3 linked regions of the Tamandua tetradactyla genome follow. The protein of the gene in region 1 purifies or fractionates together with the protein of each later gene. This does not show direct contact. Links are inferred from orthologs where the notes say so. Each region holds a gene or a part of one and is shown on either strand. Other genes may lie near its edges. The genes, in order: TBC1D15, UBAC2 and UBXN8.

Region 1 (7,279 bases):
CACCCTATACAAAAGTTAACTCAAAATGGATCAAAGATCTAAACATTAGGTCTAAGACCATAAAACAGTTAGAGGAAAATGTAGGGAGATATCTTATGAATCTTACAATTGGAGGCGTTTTATGGACCTTAAACCTAAAGCAAAAGCACTGAAAAAGGAAATAAATAAATGGGAGCTCCTCAAAATTAAACACTTTCGTGCATCAAAGAACTTCATCAAGAAAGTAGAAAGACAGCCTACACAATGGGAGATAATATTTGGAAACGACATATCAGATAAAGGTCTAGTATCCAGAATTTATAATGAGATTGTTCAACTCAACAACAAAAAGACAGCCAACCCAATTACAAAATGGGAAAAAGTCTTGAACAGACACCTACCAGAAGAGGAAATATGGATGGCCAAGAGGCACATGAAGAAATGCTCAATGTCCCTGGCCATTAGAGAAATGCAAATCAAAACCACAATGAGATATCATCTCACACCCACCAGAATGGTCATTATCAACAAAACAGAAAATGACAAGTGCTGGAGAGGATGCGGAGAAAGAGGCACACTTATCCACTGTTGGTGGGAATGTCAAAGGGTGCAACCACTGTGGAAGGCACTTTGGCGGTTCCTCAAAAAGCTGAATATAGAATTGCCATATGACCCAGCAATACCATTGCTAGGTATCTACTCAAAGGACTTAAGGGCAAAGACACAAACGGACATTTGCACACCAACGTTTATAGCAGCGTTACTTACAATTGCAAAGAGATGGAAACAGCCAAAATGTCCATCAACAGAAGAATGGCTAAACAAACTGTGGTATATACATACGATGGAATATTATGCAGCTTTAAGACAAGATAAACTTATGAAGCATGTAATAACATGGATGGACCTAGAGAACATTATGCTGAGTGAGTCCAGCCAAAAACTAAAGGACAAATACTGTATGGTCCCACTGATGTGAACGGACATTCGAGAATAAACTTGGAATATGTCATTGGTAAGAGAGTCCAGCAGGAGGTAGAAACAGGATAAGATAATGGGTAATTGGAGCTGAAGGGATACAGACTGTGCAACAGGATCAGATACAAAAACTCAAAAATGGACAGCACAATAATACCTAAGTGTAAAGTAATCATGCTAAAACACTGAATGAAGCTGCATCTGAGCTACAGGGTTTTTTTGTTTTGTTTTCTTTTTTTTACTATTATTATTACTTTTATTTCTTTTCTCTATATTAACATTCTATATCTTTTTCTGTTGTGTTGCTAGTTCCTCTAAACCGATGCAAATGTACTAAGAAACGATGATCATGCATCTATGTGATGATGTTAAGAATTACTGATCGCATATGTAGAATGGTATGATTTCTAAATGTTATGTTAATTTCTTTTTTTTTCCGTTAATAAAAAAAAAAACAACTCTGCTTCATCATCTCAAGGATTTTCAAAACTAATTCACTCTTATAAGAAAGGGGAGGTGTCCTTCAAATGGAAAGGATCCCCTCTGGATCATTTCAGATTGAAAATCAAGCACGATAGCTTTCAAATATGTTGTGAGCAAGGAGAAGATCAACATTCACCCTAAATATAAAACTAACAGGAAACCAAGGGATGTGAATATCCAAAAAAGGATGATCAACCTATAATTCCATCTATAATTTAAAGTACGTAGGATGTAGAAGTAAGGAACCTTTTTAAAAAGCCTTTTTACATTTCATGTAAACCTAACAAGTACAAGAAAGACTGGACTCTTTCTGCAAAAAGAATAAGCAAACAAAGGCATAACTGCCCAATTTCCCAAGGCCACACTTCAGATTAGTAACAAAACCAGGTCCATACCACCATATCTGTTGTTCTGTCGCTTTGCCTACTAGTCCAGACACCAAACCACAAACACTATCAGATAATTTAGTGAGGCTGGGAAGGGGGGATGAGGAGGGAGATGTGTAGGAAAAATATTATTGAAACTAAAGGAAGAGGGGAAGCTATCTGCAAAGGTAAATAAACCTTAGTGTTCGATGAGTCATCACTTGTTCCAGCTGTTTACCAAATACTCCTGCACTGGGAAATGCCAATGTCAGGAAGCTGACTGCCCTGAAAAATAGGCATAAGATGTGCCCTAGGAATGTGAACAAACACTATACAGTAAGATATCCTCCACACCCTAATTAACAAGGGGTAGGTTCACTGATCGCCTCTGTAATCAGTGGCACCGCAGACACCACCTCCGCAACATCACGAAGCTGTCTATCTAGGAAATACCAAGAACAAGCAGCACCTTACTAGACCAGCAAAGGATGGAGGAAATCTCCAGCTCTGGAGTAGAAACATGCCCTGCTGCTCACAACTACTAACCAACTCAGCTGTCTGATAAGATGGGTACAATGACCATTTTTCTCCTAAGCATACAACTGCACAGCACCTATTCAGTTCCTCGCGAAGGAGGAGATGCCTTCAGTAGAATGCAGCAAATGAAGGCAGCGGCAAGTCAGATTAATGCCTCAAATAAAGAGAAAAAAAGACGCTGGGGTGAGAAAAGTAGACACAAGGAACTAGAGTCAGGAAAAAGCGTGCAAGAAAAAAAGGAAATGCTATTCTTTAATGTTAAGAATAAAATGTTATTAATTTTCTATCTCTTAGAAAAAGCAAGACGAATAAAAGCCCTCCAGTACTGGGGCACAGCAGAGCAGAAGAGCATCGAGGCCTAGGTGGCCTCGGAGCAAGAGCCCGGCTTCTAATTCCCGGGCTGAGGCGGCATTCTGGGGAAAACAGCTGACACCACCCAGTCTTCCTTTCTTACATCTACCATGGACTGTCCCCACTGCAGAAAGACCCTCGCGTTCTTCCGCGGCGCGTCCCCAGGCGATAAAGACACAGCTCAAGAGAAAAACAGGAGTGTTCCGCGGAGCCGTTACTTACCTTCCCGCTCGCAACACCCGCTACCGCCATGTTTCCCGAGCGTGCCTGTGATGACGTAGCAAGGCCTCACGTGTCTCTCGAACTCACAACAACATCCGGCGAAACTCAGAGGGCATCCGGCCTGGAAAGCGGTAGGGAGGAACTGAAGAGGCGCGGAGGAGCGGTCTGACGCATGCGTGCTGAATAGGGCTCGGCGGTCGCTCGGGTGGAGTCTTTGGCTGAGAACTGCGCATGTGCTAAATTAATTTTTCTGGTTATGAACCATAGTTGAATGTCTTTGAATCGAGGTTTTCCCGGAGGCGAGACACAGACGGTTTAGGCGGCTACTTCACTTTGGAATGGTGGAAAGAACGGCATATTGGGAGCCAGCAAGCGTGGTTCTGTCTTTATGGCCGTAGGCAACTCACATCCTCTAAACGTCACTTTCTTCCTGTGTGAAATTGAGATGGTAGGGTTGTGGTGAAGGTTAAAGGAACCACAGCGCTCTGTTCGAGAGACACACACTGAGACTTTTCTCTAAATTTGAACCTGGTTACTGCCGCTCAGTCAATACCGTGAACAAGGTATTTTGATAAAAGCAGCAATAATACCACGCCCTCACTGCTCCAGACTCCAGAACACATTGCTCATTGCCCCTACAGAGTTGCTTAATAGCTGTGTGACTTTAAACAGGTTTCTCAATTCATTCAAGCCTTAGGATGTAAAATGAGAGTGACCCATGAAGTGGTTGATCACATGGGACAGAGCATGTGTGGTAAGATGACTTGTTGAGATATTGAGATGTTAATTTGTTCTCCGTGCTGTAAACGAATCCGAGAGAATGAGTGGATACAATTCTTGATAGCTCCGGGCCAAGGTCGAGAATTTCTATAGAAACTTCCCTAGATTTTGGACAGAATTTAGGCTCCTTTTCACCAAAAACACCTGTGCCCCCCTGAGGTGCTTCTGTTTTATCTTTACAGAGTAGAGAGGTATTAGAGGCTCTTGACCTTGATTGAGGTAATTGGCAACCAAAGGGAACCACAGAAATGGAGGGTTGCAGGTTCTGTGAATATCAGAAGCTTAATGGCTGAGGGAGGCGTCAGGAATTTAGATGAGAATGGATATGTGGTGGGGTCTTCAGATCAACTGCAATAGCATCACCTGGGAGCTTGTTAGAAATAGACTATCCGGGCCCACCCCAGGCCTATTGAATTAAAATCTTCAGTGTAACAACATCCCCAGGTGATTTGGATGCACATTTAAGTTTGAGAAATACAGTCTTAAGTGAAACTTGAATTTTATTTTTATTCCCTGAAAATTATTACCCTTTATTGAACTAAAGACAGTTATGGAAAGGTGTTGCTGCTATGTTTCCCCTTTCAGAGATGTTCTGTGGAAAACTGATGGGACAGCATCTCCATAACTCCTCTCTTTACTGTCCTCACTGCTACTCACATGGTTCAGTTTCCTCATTACCTGTGATTTGGACAACTGCAGTGGCATCCTAATTCAATCCTTTGCTTTTTGCTTCATCTTCCCCTGAATCCATCAAACACAGTCCTGCCAGAGAGATCTTTCTAAAGCATAAATGTGATCATGTGAATTCTCCGCTTAAAGTCCTTTAATGTTCCCACCTCTTGAGGAAAAAAAGTCGAAATTTCCCATCATAGAGCACAAAATCCTTCATAAACTCTGCCTTCCATTTCAGCCTTATCTCCAATAACTTTCCCTTTCAGACCCAGTTCTCCAAACATAGCCAAATATCTTCTGTTTCCTGTATGTGCCAGGCTGTGTCTCAAGACAACTACTGACCATAGGAGATTTTTACTTGGATTGTGGGGAAGGTCCTGGGCCGATCACTGTGGCACACCCAGGTTTGAATCATATGCCTTCCGCCCCACTCCACGTGGCAGGGTAATTTGCCAGAGAAAAATCCAGGTACTATTCCAGAAAAAAAAGCAGAGTGGCTGCTGGGCAAACAAAAAGACATCAATCACAGAGATTCCGTTATACTATCCCATAGCACCCTATGCTCTTATCACACTGTGAAAGATTTGGTGGTTTTCTGAATTGCCTTTACTACTAGGCTGTGAACTATTGGAAGGAGGAACTACACTCTCCATCTCTGACATTACACCTGGCACCAATGCCTGACACACAATAAACACAAAATGAATGTTTGTTGAATACATTTATTTGAATCACTGACCCATTTAGGAAAGGCATATTTCCTAACGTAACAGTTCCACTGAAGAGGAGAGAGATCTATTTTCCTTCTTAAACAATATCCTCTCTATATAAGCAAATGGAGGAAACAAGATATTTTCGTTTCCGAGGCTGCTGAAAGCAGATACCATGCTTAACAATGGGAATTTATTAGTTTACAGTTTTGAGGCTGAGAAAAATTTCCAAATCAGGGCATCATCAAGGTGTTGCTTTCTTCCCTGACTGACTGCCAATAAGCCTTGATTTGTCTGCCATATGGCAGGCACATGGCTGCATCTGCTGGTCTCTCCCTTCTGTTTCAGGTTTTGTTGCTTTCAGCTTTTTGCCTCCATGGTTTTCTGTTTCTGCATTTCATCCTCTCATAAAGGACTCCAGGAAGGAGATTAAGGCTCATTCTAGGCCATCCCTTAAATGAAGTAACCTCCTTAAAAGGCCCTACTTACAATGGGTTTATACCCACAGGAATTGATTGTCTTTAAGAACATGATTTTCTGGGTTACATACAGTTCCAAACCACTATACAAAGTCAGGATGTTTTTCTTAATTTGCCAGAAGCAATCACAAATATGAAATGAATTGGCTTAAATTAAACAATAGGAATTTATTGGCCCATGGTTTTGAGGCTAAGAAAAGTCCAAAATCAAGATGTTCAGCAAGGCAATGCTTTCTCCCTGAAGTCTGGTGGTATTCTGGGGCTGGCTGACAGTGATCCATGGGCCCGTGACTTTTCTATCACATAGAGTATAAATGGTTGTGTGTTCTTTTTCTTCCAGATTCTGCTGGCTTGCAGCTTCTCCCTCTCCCGGGAAGCTCTTTCCTTGTGGTCTTCTCTATAAGGCCTTCAGTATAATAGGATTAATACTGTTTTGATTTGCTAATGCTGCCGTATATCTTAAATGGGTTGCCTTTTATAAAGGGGATTTTTTAGGTTAAAATGTACAGTTCTAAGGCCATGAAAATGTCCAAATTAAGGCATCAACAAGACGATACTTTCACTCAAGAAAGGCTGCTCGCTTCTGGAGTTTCTTTGTCACATGGGAAGGCACATGGTGACATCTGCTGGCCCTTTGCTCCCAGATTTTGTTGCTTTCAGTTCCTGGTTCCAGTGGCCTCCTCTCTGAGCTTCTGTATGTCCCCAAGCATCTGAACTTTTTGCTCTCTGTGTCAGCTCTCCAAGCATCTGCATTTGGCATCTGTTCTCTGTGTCAGCTCTGAGCTCTTTCTCTCTCTCGGAGGTTTTTTTTTTGTATGCTCTATGGCAGCTTTCATTCTTTTTCCATGTGAGTATCCCATTATTGCAGCACCATTTGTTGAATTTTTGTTTGTTTGTTTTGGGGCAGTGTATGGGCTGGGAATTGAACCCAAGCAAGAATTCTACTGCTGAATTACCCTTGCACCCCCTCAGGAACTCTTTTAAGGACTCCAATAAACTAATTAAGACCCATCATGAATGGGTGGGTTGCATCTCCATGGAAACAACCTAATCAAAAGGTCTGTCCCCACAAGATTGAATTAGAATTAAAAGAATTTGACTTTTTTGCGGTCCGTAATAGTTTCAAACCAGCACAAACACTCATCCTGATTCAGTTGGCCATACCTTAACTCAAAATAACATTTTCAAAAGGTTCTATTTACAATGGGTTCACACCCACAGGAATGGATTAAGATTAAGAACATGGTTTTCTGGGGTACATGGTTCAACCTACCACAACTTCAAAGTGTTTTGTTTCAGATTTCAGTTTTTTTACTATATTGGTGGGGGGGAAATCAGAATACACTTACGTATAGCAAGAAGACATATTTTGGTCTTTTTCTTTCCTTAAACAGCATGCATATAAAATGTAACGTAAATGAAGTTATGCTATAACTTAAAATAATTAATGTTGTCATAGAATCAAGTAATTTCATAATTCCTAGGTTCACTCACCAAAACTGTATAGTCATTCACTAATTATAATTTATCACTTGAAAGTCATATGATGCAAAAGAATCTTAATAATAAATGCCTTAAAGAAACTCTAGACCTAGGGGAGACTTCTTTAGTGATAGTCTCTAGTAACTTTTTCAATTGAGAAAGTTGAACCTCTTAGAGATTAATGACTTGCCATGGTTATGAACAACTTTATTCATAAAATAAAGGCTGAACAGAGACTTAG
Region 2 (7,706 bases), on another chromosome or scaffold:
CCCACCCCACTACAGGTCAAGGGAGTGGCAGATAAGAGGTTCCCAACTGTGGGAGTCTCTGAAGAACCCACTGAACGCCACATGAAAAAAAGTCAGCTTTAATTACATGCCAGGTTCAAATGCCCTACCCTTGACTTACTGCCCTGGATGCACCAGCCTTCTTTAGTATCTTGCAAACACCCTGCTATGAATGTTTCAGAGACTTTGGGCTTGCCGTTCACTCTCTTCAGAATGAAAAATTTTCAACAAATTTTGGCATGGCTAACTCCTTCACGCTGTTTGGGTATCAGCTCAAACATCACCTTCCCAGGTATTTCCCCTGACCTCACATACTAAAACAGTACTTGACTTACTGCCCTGGATGCACCAGCCTTCTTTAGTATCTTGCAAACACCCTGCTATGAATGTTTCAGAGACTTTGGGCTTGCCGTTCACTCTCTTCAGAATGAAAAATTTTCAACAAATTTTGGCATGGCTAACTCCTTCACGCTGTTTGGGTATCAGCTCAAACATCACCTTCCCAGGTATTTCCCCTGACCTCACATACTAAAACAGTACTTTACATAACCGTCTTATTTTCTTGATAACACTTGCCACTGTGTGAAATAACGTTAATTATCTGTTAATATACTTATGTTGGTCTCTTTCATCCTGTTTACCATTTTATCCTCTGTGCATGAACAGTGTGTGACTTATGAGGTTACTCATTTGTTGAATGAACGAATGAAGGAGAGAAAAAAAATCAAGTGTAACACAATGATACCAGCAGCAAATGGCAGGGATTTCTCCACTGAAAAAGAGAATGTTATTCACCATCCTTGGGAACAAGCATAGGCAGATGTTGTTATTTCCTCAGGATCAGCATTTTGACCTAACAAGGGCCACATAACTTCTTATTTAATGGAAATCATGTACCTCTCAGTAAGTAGTCTTGCCAGAAAAAAGAAAAAAATTTTTAAACAATTTTGTTTAATTTTTAAACAAAAGACCAGACCTGGGAAAAAGTGTGCCTAAACTCCACTATAAGCACGCAAGTACTGGGACAGACTTGTATAAAGCTGTTTTCTCAGAACTCAACACAGTGCCTGGTCCATAGCAGATGCCCCAAATGTTTGTTAAATGAACATATAAGACATGGTCTTCTGAGGAATGGCCATCCTATCAACTCAACCTATGAATGCACTTATTTTAAAAACAGGGTAAGACAACTGAGGAGTCCTTGCCCTAGGCCTCACCCTGGGGCAACATTTTGGTTCCTACAATTCAATATTCATCAACCCTGTGCCATAGGTAATAAAGTATTACCCTCCCCAGAGGAACCCTCTATCAAGTCTGAATGAACTTTGCCAATATAATATAACAGCATAATAACCAATAACAGATTTTCCTTGCCTTTAAAAAAAAATGTTTTATATGTATTTTAGTCAACAAGGCAGGATAGTTCAAAACACTGAAAGAACAACCAGGATTGAAGAATTCTGCTGAAAACTTCGTATTCACCAGTGTACCACTCACTCACTGTGTGATCCTAGGAAAATCACACCCCCTCCTTGACTGCCAGTTTCATTGATAGTTACAATGTCCTTCATCCAAGAGGTAGTTTTAGGGAGGTTAATTACCTCGTAGTTGAATTGTACTCTAAGGCCAATTCATGAAAGAGGCCATAATTCAAATTATGAAACAAGGAAAATCATAAACATCAAACATCAAAACCTGAGAAGTTGTGAAGTGAGGAAGATTTAAAATTAAGCCTGTAGTTCTGACACTAACTCACTCTCACACTAACATATATAGTCACAGAAATAGATTGGTGACATTCACAACAGATCTTTAATATTTGGAAATAGCAAATGCTTCTGCACTCTGGCAACATTAACTTCACGTGTACAGAGATATGAAGCACTACAATGAATCCCCAAACTATGGTTGTTCAAACAGTTAACTGATGGGTCAAGCCTAACTTCAGTGTGGTTTACTTAACACAGTGTTGTTTAGTTAACACACCTCATCAGTTTACTTAAATTTAATTTAATTTAATTTAATTTAAGTAAATTAAATACTCAATTTCGGTGAGAAACAATTATTTAAAACAATATATATCTTTCTCTGTCCTCTATCTTCTGACCACCTCTAACACTCAAAATATAGGAACGTACAACAGCAAAGTGCGATTTCTCACTAAAGCACGTGCTCACTTCCCACCACTTTAAAGTATTTTAACCAATTTTCGTTTAACTACAAACTTTTAAGGGAAACTGGGAAGGAATCAAATCTAGGTAAAACTGAGGGATCAGCTCCTGAAGCAGAGGTTGAAATCGGCTTCTGGGAAAGTCGGTCCGACTGTAGTCTAAACGAATAGAGCAAGGTGAGTGGAAAAGGGGCAGGCTTCCAGACACGCCTGCAACGGAACAGCCTCTTCTTTCGGCTTGGCACTTTCAGCGTCTGGCAACCACGCCTCAAACGGCGCGGGGCCGGGCTAGGAGAACGCGAAGTCACCCAGCCTGATCCTAACTGCCTAGCCCACCTGCAGCAGACCCCCGGGCACCAAGGCATCGCACCTGGGGCTCACAGGTGAGGGCCGAGGCTGGCGGCGGGACTTATTCCCCACTCGCCGCTTCGGGTAGAAGGGGCAGTACCCGCTGCCCCCCAGGGCAGGAACTACCGAGTTCCGGAGCCGGGATGAATGGTCGGGGGCGGAGATGGAGGATCGGCTCCCAAACCTCCTGCAAACCCGAGGGTCCTTGCTGTCCCCACTTCCCTCAAGGAGGTGCCCAGGCTGACATGTAGGAGACAGCCAGGATGGCGGCGGCCGGTACTCACAAAACCCACTCGAGCCGGTGCTGGTGAACATGGTGCCGCCGGGTCCGAAGCCCCTGCGAGGGGGCGGGGAGAAGGGGAGGGCAACCGGCGTTGAAGAGGCCCGGCGACGCGCAGGCGCACTACAGAGGAGGCGGTGAACCAGACGATTCGATTGTACTGGAGGGCCCGCCTGACGTACGGGGCATGCGCGGCTTCTGAAGCTCCCTTCCTGCCGGGGAAGGGAAGTGCGTCCACAACCGCCGGGGGTCGTCTCTCCGGGTTTTTACGACGGCCGAGGTAACCGTATGGAAAAAATGAGGTGGCCTGGGAGGAAACGAGGCTTAGCTGCGGGAACCGCGCATCTCTGCTCAGCGCCGACCCCACGCCGCTTTCAGCTGGTTCCTCTGGAATGCTGGACTAGGCATTCCTTGCGTCTTCTTTTCCAACCTCCCCAGTCGCGCAGACTCTCTGGCCTGCAGCGGACACTCGCTCGGCCGGGAACTGTGGACCACAGAACTCTCTGAGGTTCCGGCGTCAAGTCAGGGCCGACACGCTGGTCAGCCGGCCTCGCAGCGAGGAAAGGGGAGCTGGACGACCCTCCTCGCCGCAGGAACCGGGCCGTCTGGCTGTTCCCTTTCCCTTCGTCGGCCCCACCCGAGTCTCCACGATAAGCGCCGAGCATGGTGGTCCGGAACCCGGGACCGGTGTGGGGGCTGCTGGATACACCCTGTCCTGCTAACGCCGCGGACGGCCTATGGCCGGGGATCCCTGGCAGAAGTAATGTGGGAACGGGGGCGGCTCTGTTCCCCAGACTTGCATCCTGGCGTCCTCAGACGTGGGTCCTTTAATGAATTCTAAGTCATTTAATTTTTTTTTAGCTTGCAGTATGAAATTACTTTTCGTAAAACAAAGCTAAGGTTTCCTTAATATGAGTTTTAGCCTAAAACTTTTGAGTCGTTAAAAAGTTTTAAACTACATCTTATGGGAATATGAACACACTTCAAGGCTCAGTGAAAATGACAGGCTTCAAAACTCTATTTTAAAAATATGCGTATTAAAAAAAACTGAGTGCTTATAAGGGCCAATGGGTGTGCTAAATCTGATTAATAAAATACAGACCTGCCCTCAATAGATTCCAGTGAACCAGAATATTAATGTTGATTATTTCTAGAAGGCAAACATACGGTGAGTTTTATTTTATTCTTTAGGTTTTTCTTTGTAAGATTTGTTCACAATTATAAACTACATTTAATATTTTAACTTTAGGCTCATCCAGTTGATTTATTTTGCGATGCAACCATAGTTTAAACGTCTTTTCTGTTTGCAGAAATTGTTTGGTCACAAAACGTGTAGCTGACATAGGACAGTCCATGGAAGTCCCTGAGCAATCGCCCAGATCTTTTAGGGATGCAAAAGACCAAAACATCAGTTTGTGTTTTTTTATTCTTATCCACGCAGGAGTATTTGTGGAATTTTCCACTGTACAGTTGGAAAATCTGCATGACTTAGTGAACCGTTATTTTCCTGATGATCAGTGCATGATGTTACAAAAGTATGAGTGGATAAAAAATTATTCAAACTGCAAGATAAACCATTGACTTTAAACAGTACAAAATGTTCATTGATATGGCTTCAGATTCCTCACTGCAACTAGTCTTTAAGAAACTACCACTTAAGTTTTGGTATAGCATCAGTAAAGATTATCTGAAAAGGCTGCTGTTAAAATGTTCCTTTCCTTATTACTTATCTGTGGGAGGCCAGATTTACTTCATATACTTCAAGCAAACAATATATCACACAAACCAAAAACACACAAATATTGTAAATAAGAAATTAAGATATGAGGGATGCTGCCATGCCAGCGTTCTGGGTTTGTTTCCTGGTGCCTGCCCATGCAAAAAAAAAAAAAAAAGGGATGACTTTAATTGCTGAGTCATTACATAGATATTCCTTTTTTGCTTTCCAGTGTGTGGGAGTAGACAGGAAAATACCTGAAATCTTTGAATTGTAATCCAGGTGACTTGATCTCTAATAATGACTGTACAGCTTTATCTTGTGCCCTTGTGATTATGAAAACCTTGTGATTAACCTTCACTTGTACCCATTTATCCAGTTTTTTGACTTAAGAGTTTGTGATCACTAAAGACAGCCCCTAATGTTTGTTAATGAAAGTTCCTGGGTCTGCCCCGAACTAAGTCTAAAGTTAATCTTGATAACTGAGACTGATCTAACCAAAATGGGCCCACCTGATGTGCGCAGTAGCTTAGACTTTAACCTATAAGTCACCGAAATCTCATTACAATAACTAAAAATCATATCCATCATCATGTTAAGGCCGTTATTATGTATGTCCTATGACTAAGCATGTAATCAGCCTGTGCTTGCTCAATAATTAAATCACCTCTAATTACATCATCTGGAGCCATTGTGCTCATTATCCTAAAACCTGCCCATCTTTTGATGCTATAAAACTATGAGAGTTACTGCAGTTCAGGGAGATATATTTTGAATCTAATAAACTTTTTCTTTCTTTGAAACCCAGGTGTCTCAGGAGTTCATCATTTGAAGGCATTGGCAAAAGAATTCACACCTTTGTTTGATATTCCGGGGATCCAGGGGTCTTCCATCAAGCCATGCATTAAAAACATTTGTGAAATGTGACAAAATGCTATTCTTACCCCATAATATTTTGCTTGGGGAAGTACAGTAATTTTTCATTAACAGGTTATTTAATTCAGCCTGTGATGGGCATAGTGTTTTTTTTTAATGAATTTCATAAATTTTTAAGATTTTTCAGTTTTAATTTTTAGTATGGTAAATGTCAATAGATATAGCCTTTAAACAAAAGTTCTAGTTTTCAATAACTTTTAAAGAATGTAGAAGGCTCCCAAGAACAAAAAGAATGAGAACTGTTGAAGATAAAGGTTTTTTTTTAAAAAGTCTTCAGTTATGTTCAATTCTACAGTCTTTGCAACAAAATGCAATATAATTAAAATGGTATCCAGACCTTGCTTGAAAGTATTTGCAGCGATCCATAACTTGAGTGTCCCTCAACTGTATGCCCTGAGGACATGTACCTATTGATTGGTAGGAAGTTGAAGGTTTGTCTTCCAAAAAGCAAGTGTGGTCTTTGGAGGGGCAGCATGGGCCTCACTTGATATCTGGTTTGGACTATAGTGCCAGACCCATGCCAGACCTATTAAGGCAGAATATGCATTTAATAAGACAGGTCATTTGTATGCACATTAACATTTGAGTAGCACTAGTGCAGTGATTTTCATCAGGGGGTATTTTTATTCTCCAGGAAACATTTGGCATTATCTGGAGACATTTTGGGGTGTCACAACAATAACGACTTATTAGACCCAACACATCAATAGTGTGGAGATTGAGAAACTCTACACTAGCGTAATTCATCCAACTTTTATCATGAACTCCTGGTGTCTGTCATTTTTGTTGCCTGTGCCTGTATTTCCCCCTTATCTTTTCTGTGGTTTTTATTACGGAAAACTAAGTCTGTCAGTTACTAGGAATCATCTTTTTGCCTTGCTATGTAGGGAATTTGGTTTTGAATCTGCTTTCTATATTGGACAATAGTATGCTTTTAAGCCTTGGGAACTCACCATGTATGTACAGTGTAAGAAAATAAATATTCATTTGTATAGGCATTACAAAGGTGAAGCGTTGTCTCCACCAGAAAGATCCAGAAGTAGTCAAAAGTAATCTGATTCATCTTGAGATACTTGCACTGCTACCTATGTGCTTTAGGAACATCATAGAATGGATGGAGCTACAATTCCTTCAGCCTGATAAACTCTTCCCAAAAAATCAGCTCAAATAATATCTCTCCCAGACCCTAACAGGCAGAAGTACTTATTCCCTATTCTGTGCTCCCATCATAGTTTATGCACACCTATGTTATATTTATCCCACTGTCTCAATTATTATGTTTCCGACTTCTAGAAAAGGGTGAGCCATTAAAAGGCAGGGAATGTCTTATAAAATGTTGTATCCTACTTATTTCAGTCTCTTTTAATGAGAAGGCATTGTATTCTTTCAATAAAATAAAACACATCTCTGAGTTTTAGCATCAGAAAGAAAATCTCCAGATGGATCACAAAGGAGGATTGGTTTCTCCCCTAGCCAGTGTTTCACGGTCCCACCACATGTCTGTAGGTTAAAAGCCTGTTGGAAATGATGAATAGGAGTTTGTCTTATCCTGTATAGGGAAATGGGATGGCATTCCAAAGAAAATTCTTTTAAAACATTGAATTTATTCTTTAATACTAACATATAATTTTTGTTTCAATAAATGAAAATTTAAATAGTGTTAAAAATATTATGAAATCGCTTGACATATACTTCACATATATCAAAAATGCTAACTGAAGTGCTTAAACTATAAGCAAATGAGATCGATATTATTAAGGAGAAAGAAATTATGGAAATTTTCAATAAACTTTCATCATTTTAACAGACGCCCAGAATTTTCAGTCTGTAGCAGTTGAATAAGGATAGGTCTAAGGATACTGATTTAGAAAGAAATGGCTGATTTTCATGCTTTAAAATATTCTTATGTAAAGATTAGTATGAATTACTAATATCAGATTTGTTAACTTACCCAGTTGAAAAGGATGCAGCATATTAATAAGCCAATATTTGCAGGAAAAGTTAATGGTGCTAAAAAAAATGGGGCATAAAATAATTATTTAATCTTTTTACAAAAAGTTTTAGTTTGAGCTAAAACTTGCATTCCTTTAAAATGGAAGTGAAGTTATTTATTACAAGCATTTCCAACTGCATGTTTAGGTGAAAGGGTTTCAATATAATGGAACAATATAACAAAGAAGATTTGAGATTCTTTTTAACTTGAATTATTTCATAAATAAAATTGTTTTAAAAAGAAT
Region 3 (7,191 bases), on another chromosome or scaffold:
AGACCATATGCTGGGTCACAAAGCAAGTCTTAACAAATTTAAAAAGATTGAAATCATACACAACACTTTCTTGGATCATAAAGGAATGAAGTTGGAAATCAATAATAGGCGGAGTGCCAGAAAATTCACAAATACATGGTGGCTCAACAACACACTCCTAAACGAGTGGGTCAAAGAAGAAATTGCAAGAGAAATAAGCAAATACCTCGAGGCGAATGAAAATGAAAACACAACATATAAAAACTTATGGGATGCAGCAAAGGCAGTGCTAAGAGGGAAATTTATTGCCCTAAATGCCTATATCAGAAAAGAAGAAAAGGCAAAAATGCAGGAATTAACTATCCATTTGGAAGAACTGGAGAAAGAACAGCAAACTAATCCCAAAGCAAGCAAAAGGAAAGAAATAACAAAGATTAGAGCACAAATAAATGAAATTGAAAACATGAAAACAATAGAGAAAATCAATAAGGCCAGAAGTTGGTTCTAAGAGAAAATCAATAAGATTGATGGGCCCTTAGCAAGATTGACAAAAAGAAGAAGAGAGAGGATGCAAATAAATAAGATCAGAAATGGAAGAGGAGACATAACTACTGACCTCACAGAAATAAAGGAGGTAATAACAGGATACTATGAACAACTTTACGCTAATAAATACGACAATTTAGAGGAAATGGACGGGTTCCTGGAAAGACATGAACAACCAACTTTGACTCAAGAAGACATAGATGATCTCAACAAACCAATCACAAATAAAGAAATTGAATCAGTCATTCAAAAGTTTCCTAAAAAGAAAAGTCCAGGACCAGACGGCTTCACATCTGAATTCTATCAAACATTCCAGAAAGAATTAGTACCAACTCTCCTCAAACTCTTCAAAAAAATCGAAGCGGAGGGAAAACTACCTAATTCATTCTATGAAGCCAACATCACCCTTATACCAAAACCAGGCAAAGATATTACAAAAAAAGAAAACTACAGGCCAATCTCTCTAATGAATATAGATGCAAAATTCCTCAACAAAATTCTAGAAAATCATATCCAACAACACATTAAAAGAATTATACATCATGACCAAGTAGGATTCATCCCAGGTATGCAAGGATGGTTCAACATAAGAAAATCAATTAATGTAATATACCATATCAACAAATCAAAGCAGAAAAATCACATGATCATCTCAATTGATGCAGAGAAGGCATTTGACAAGATTCAACATCCTTTCCTGTTGAAAACACTTCAAAAGAGAGGAATACAAGGGAACTTCCTTAAAATGATAGAGGGAATATATGAAAAACCCACAGCTAATATCATCCTCAATGGGGAAAAATTGAAAACTTTCCCCTAAATCAGGAACAAGACAAGGATGTCCACCCTCACCACTATTATTCAACATTGTGTTGGAGGTTCTAGCCAGAGCAATTAGACAAGAAAAAGAAATACAAGGCATCAAAATAGGAAAGGAAGAGGTAAAACTATCACTGTTTGCAGACGATATGGTACTATATGTCGAAAACCCGGATAAATCCACAACAAAACTACTAGAGCTAATAAATGAGTACAGCAAAGTAGCAGGTTACAAGATCAACATTCAAAAATCTGTAGCATTTCTATACACTAGCAATGAACAAGCGGAGGGGGAAATCAAGAAACGAATCCCATTTACAATTGCAACTAAAAGAATAAAATACTTAGGAATAAATTTAACTAAAGAGACAAAAAACCTATATAAAGAAAACTACAAAAAACTGCTAAAAGAAATCACAGAAGACCTAAATAGATGGAAGGGCATACCGTGTTGATGGATTGGAAGACTAAATATAGTTAAGATGTCAATCCTACCTAAATTGATTTACAGATTCAATGCAATACCAATCAAAATCCCAACAACTTATTTTTCAGAAATAGAAAAACCAATAAGCAAATTTATCTGGAAGGGCAGGGTGCCCCGAATTGCTAAAAACATCTTGAGGAAAAAAAACGAAGCTGGAGGTCTCGCGCTGCCTGACTTTAAGGCATATTATGAAGCCACAGTGGTCAAAACAGCATGGTATTGGCATAAAGATAGATATATCGACCAATGGAATCGAATAGAGTGCTCAGATATAGACCCTCTCATCTATGGACATTTGATCTTTGATAAGGCAGTCAAGCCAACTCACCTGGGACAGAGCAGTCTCTTCAATAAATGGTGCCTAGAGAACTGGATATCCATATGCAAAAGAATGAAAGAAGACCCATGTCTCACACCCTATACAAAAGTTAACTCAAAATGGATCAAGGATCTAAACATTAGGTCTAAGACCATAAAACAGTTAGAGGAAAATGTAGGGAGATATCTTATGAATCTTACAACTGGAGGCGGTTTTATGGACCTTAAACCTAAAGCAAGAGCACTGAAGAAGGAAATAAATAAATGGGAGCTCCTCAAAATTAAACACTTTTGTGCATCAAAGAACTTCATCAAGAAAGTAGAAAGACAGCCTACACAATGGGAGACAATATTTGGAAATGACATATCAGATAAAGGTCTAGTATCCAGAATTTATAAAGAGATTGTTCAACTCAACAACAAAAAGACAGCCAACCCAATTACAAAATGGGAAAAAGACTTGAACAGACACCTACCAGAAGAGGAAATACAAATGGCCAAAAGGCACTTGAAGAGATGCTCAATGTCCCTGGCCATTAGAGAAATGCAAATCAAAACCACAGTGAGATATCATCTCACACCCACCAGAATGGCCATTATCAACAAAACAGAAAATGACAAGTGCTGGAGAGGATGTGGAGAAAGAGGCACACTTATCCACTGTTGGTGGGAATGTCAAATGGTGCAACCACTGTGGAAGGCAGATTGGCAGTTCCTCAAAAAGCTGAATATAGAATTGCCATACGACCCAGCAATACCATTGCTGGGAATCTACTCAAAGGACTTAAGGGCAAAGACACAAACGGACATTTGCACACCAATGTTTATAGCAGCGTTATTTACAATTGCAAAGAGATGGAAACAGCCAAAATCTCCATCAACAGAAGAGTGGCTAAACAAACTGTGGTATATACATACGATGGAATACTATGCAGCTTTAAGACAGGATAAACTTATGAAGCATGTAATAACACGGATGGACCTAGAGAACATTATGCTGAGTGAGTCTGGCCAAAAACTAAAGGACAAATACTGTATGGTCCCACTGATGTGAACGGACATTCGAGAATAAATTTGGAATATGTCTTTGGTAACAGAGTCCAGCAGGAGGTAGAAACAGGGTAAGATGATGGGCAATTGGAGCTGAAGGGATACAGACTGTGCAACAGGACTAGATACAAAAACTCAAAAATGGACAGCACAATAATACCTAATTGTAAAGTAATCATGTTAAAACACTGAATGAAGCTGCGTCTGAGCTATAGGTTTTTGTTTTGTTTTGTTTTGTTTTTACTATTATTACTTTTATTTTTTTCTCTATATTAACATTCTATATCTTTTTCGGTTGTGTTGCTAGTTCTTCTAAACCGATGCAAATGTACTAAGAAACGATGATCATGCATCTATGTGATGATGTTAAGAAGTACTGATTGCAAATGTAGAATGGTATGATTTCTAAATGTTGGGTTAATTTCATTTTTTCTGTTAATTAAACAAAAAAAAAGAGAAGGGGTAATTGGAGCTGAAGGGATACAGACTGTGCAACAGGACTGGATATAAAAACTCAGAAATGGACAGCACACTACCTAATTGTAATGCAATTATGTTAAAACATTGAATGAAGCTGCATGTGAGGTAAAGGTTTTTTTTCCTCTCTATTATCATTTTAATTCTTATCCTGTTGTCTTTTTATTTCTTTTTCTAAATCGATCCAACTGTACTAAGAAATGATGAATATGCAACTATGTGATGATATTAAGAATTACTGATTGTACACGTAGAATGGAATGATTTCTAAATGTTTTATTAATTTTTTTTAATTAAAAAAAAACAAAAAACAAAAAACCAGGGAGGCTTATCTCAGACCCACCCAAGAGCCCGTTTTAAGGCCTTTTCCAAAATTCCTCGCTTGGGAAGAAGTCCTATCCCTCCACCCCGGACCTCCCGCCCTCCGGACGACGGCGCGACGGGAAGGGGCGGGCCTTCGCCCTGACGCGGAGCTCCCGCCACAATGGCTTCTAGAGGGGTTGTCGGTATTTTCTTTCTCTCTGCTCTCCCTCTCTTGTGTCTGGAACTCCGACGTGGGATCCCGGATCTAGGTAAGCATTGACTTTTGCACCCCCTGACTTCCCACCTGGCTCTTTGGCGTAAGTGTAGCGTATAATTTCCGCGTGGACGGCCGCGTTGCCTCTGGGCGGCTTTGACTACGATTCCCAGCCTGCACCGCGTCTGCCCCTCTTCCGGCGCTGGCCCGGCGGGCGTCCCCTTTGGGAGCGAGTCTCGGGAGTTGTGTAGGGGTGGGGACTGTGGGTGTGGGTGGGTTCTTTCCTTCGTTGCTCGTGAAAAGTTTCCCTCCGGTATTAGCTCTGTTCTTAATGGATTGCTTACGCTAGGTCGCTGGGATCCTGGGGTCCGTGTTACCAGCGCTGGCGAAGTTTTGACCTTAGAGGGACTGAAGGAAAAAGCGCAGGAACCAACAATACTTTCAAATTGATCTGAACGCCCCCACGGGAAGAAGCATAATGAGAGGATGAAGGCTTTCTGAGGGATTTTAGCTGAGATTTGCAGGATGATAAGGAGCCACCCTTGTGAAAAGCCAAGGGGAGAACATTCCAGTCATAAGGAATTGTGACATGTTGGAGGAAAGGGGTGAAGGCCTTTCAGGCTGGAGCAATGAAGGTAAAGGGGAGTCTGGCTCAGGATGATAATGTTTGAGTCCCGATTATAAACCAAGTGCTTTTTATCTCATTTACTCTTCACTGCAATCTTGGGAGGTGGGTGCTTATTCTAATTCCCATTTTTCAGCTAGGTACTAGATACATGGAGAAGAGTCTTTCCTGAGGTTTTTAAAAGATCATTCTGGATTCTGTGCGGACAAAATTTTGGAAGGCTGTAGTGGAAGCAGTTAGGTGCTTTAGGCTTCTGAAGTAGGCAAGTAGGAATGATAGCCTGGATTAACAGAGGAAATGAAATCTGGACAGATTTGGGATTATTGAGGAAGTAGAATCAAGAGATCTTGTTGATGGATTGACCTTCGAGGTGAGAGGAAAGGATTCAAGATTGACTCCCACATATGGGGGTTAAACAGGTCTAGGTAGTAGGGCGTTAAACAACTGTAGGTAGTAGGAAGTGCCATTGGTAGGGGAAACAGAAATACTGAAGGAATATTGTGACAAGGAAATTGAAGATTAAAGGATTATGATTACTGAATCATTATATAGTTGTTTTTCTTTCTATATTGTAGGCAGAAGTTAATACCTGAAATTAGTGAAACTCAACTAGTCTCAGCCCTGTTTATGCTTACGTTTGTAATGGTTATTGTAGCTTAGTCTCAGCCCTGTTTAAAGGTGCTGTTGTAATTGTTATTCTAAGCCTATCTCAGCATGGTATATACTTAGTGAAAGGTTTAGGAGGCAAAAGGGTGAAAAAGAAGAAAATAGACCAGGAAATTTAAAGTGAGCGAGTTTATTTCTGCGCTCCTGGGTAGAGCTCACTGCATCCAAGATGGAGAGAGGTGAGTCCGCACGTGGGCTTCAGTGCGGGCAGCTTTTAAGGATGGGGGTCAGGTAACATCCGGAAGGGGCCGTTCATTAGTTCCGGAAGTCAGGTTGGGAAGGGTGACACAGCCTCTGCAGCTCCAGCTGCAGTACCTTTCCCCATTCCCCCGACCTAACATTCCAGCCTTTTTGTGATAATAGGGCGCCGAGATCTTTCTGGCTACTTCCTGCTATAATGGGGCGGCGTGGGGTTATAGGCCGGAACCGTCATGGTCAGGGGAGTGGGGAGGCTGGCTATAGGAATCTGGTGAGGAAGGCAGGTGATGATAATGATGCAGGAGCCTCTGGTTGACTGCTACCTGGGCTAGTTCCTTCCTGCGTCCCTGAAGGAAGTTGAGGAGGCAGGAAACTAGGAGGAAAAAGAGACAGATTAGGATAACTGGTCCTAGTAGTGGGAGGAGCCATGTTGCCAGGGGAGAGGAAAACCAGCTTAAGGCAGAGTTGGTTCCTTGTTTTCTGTGATAGGGATCCTCTCTTAGTTTGTTTAGGGTCTGAATATTTTGTTCCACCTGACCCGACTCGTTGATGTAATAGCAGCATTCCTCTTGTAGGAATATACACGTTCCTCCTTTTTCGGCTGTCAGCAGGTCTAAGGCCCATCGATTTTGAAGAGTTACCTGGGCTAGTGAGGTGAGTTGGTGTTGTAGAGAGGAGAGGGATTCTGATGTTGATTCCAGGGCTACCTGTAGTCGAGTTTCGAAGTTTTGAGAGGTCAAAATATTGTGTCCCAGCACCCTTCCTGCTGTGGCTGAGGCTGTAACTGAAGCGGTTAGGCTGACACCTACTAGGATAGGAAGAAAGGAAGCCCTTTTTGAGCGAGGAGAGGGCAGTAGCCAGGTTAGTTTGGACTCCCCATAGAGGGTCAATTGAGGAACAATAGTTACCAGGAAGCCTGGTCCCGGGGCAGTGGAACTTTGGGCAAGGTGGCTGGAGAGGCTTTGCTCAGCCTGCAAAATGTCCGTGGATATCCGGGTAAAAGTAGTATTAATGAGGATATATTTGTGGTGTTTTCAGTGGTGCTTACAGGGTATTGGGACCAGCCACTGTAGTATAGCTTGCCTTGGATTCCTGCTACCCATCTTGTGTCCCAGGGATCTGCAGTATTTATGTAAGATTGCTGGGAGCTAATGTAGAAGGTACCTTTATGAGCTGCCTCCACATAAGCATCATGTATTCTGCATGACCAATAGGGGCATTCCCCCATATATATTGTCATAGTTGTTTTGGTTACAATAGCTTTCAGTTTGGGCATATGGAAAGCAGGCATATGGCCTTGGGCCCTTTTCAACTGATTTAGGATTTATGGGGATGGTTATAGGCTGACTACAACCTGTTAGAGGGCAATCTCCTGTGCCAATCATATGAGTGGTCAATCTATCATTTTGGCTAAAGATTTCCCTGATTTTGAACTTCCATACATAGGATGCACCCTCAATGGGGGTTAGGAGAATGAGTAGCATGAGTGAGGCGGACCCGAGTGGGCCC

Evidence for each region.
Region 2: the proteins of TBC1D15 (region 1) and UBAC2 purify together in Homo sapiens (affinity purification with mass spectrometry; 3 studies listed by BioGRID and IntAct, counting the BioPlex papers as one, with this or other methods). This does not show direct contact. The link is inferred for Tamandua tetradactyla from reciprocal best matches to the Homo sapiens genes TBC1D15 and UBAC2.
Region 3: the proteins of TBC1D15 (region 1) and UBXN8 purify together in Homo sapiens (affinity purification with mass spectrometry; 3 studies listed by BioGRID and IntAct, counting the BioPlex papers as one, with this or other methods). This does not show direct contact. The link is inferred for Tamandua tetradactyla from reciprocal best matches to the Homo sapiens genes TBC1D15 and UBXN8.

The regions. Positions count from the first base shown.
Region 1 is NC_135333.1:140,430,203-140,437,481, reverse strand, and holds the start of TBC1D15 (TBC1 domain family member 15), read right to left. Parts: upstream 3,049-7,279; 5' UTR 2,946-3,048; coding exon 2,916-2,945; intron 1-2,915. UniProt on the Homo sapiens protein: Acts as a GTPase activating protein for RAB7A. Does not act on RAB4, RAB5 or RAB6.
Region 2 is NC_135330.1:168,146,468-168,154,173, reverse strand, and holds the start of UBAC2 (ubiquitin-associated domain-containing protein 2), read right to left. Parts: upstream 3,046-7,706; 5' UTR 2,852-3,045; coding exon 2,821-2,851; exon of another isoform or gene 2,378-2,820; intron 1-2,377. UniProt on the Homo sapiens protein: Restricts trafficking of FAF2 from the endoplasmic reticulum to lipid droplets.
Region 3 is NC_135352.1:12,814,449-12,821,639, reverse strand, and holds the start of UBXN8 (UBX domain-containing protein 8), read left to right. Parts: upstream 1-4,131; 5' UTR 4,132-4,160; coding exon 4,161-4,248; intron 4,249-4,434; exon of another isoform or gene 4,435-4,782; coding exon of another isoform or gene 4,783-4,828; intron 4,829-7,191. UniProt on the Homo sapiens protein: Involved in endoplasmic reticulum-associated degradation (ERAD) for misfolded lumenal proteins, possibly by tethering VCP to the endoplasmic reticulum membrane. May play a role in reproduction.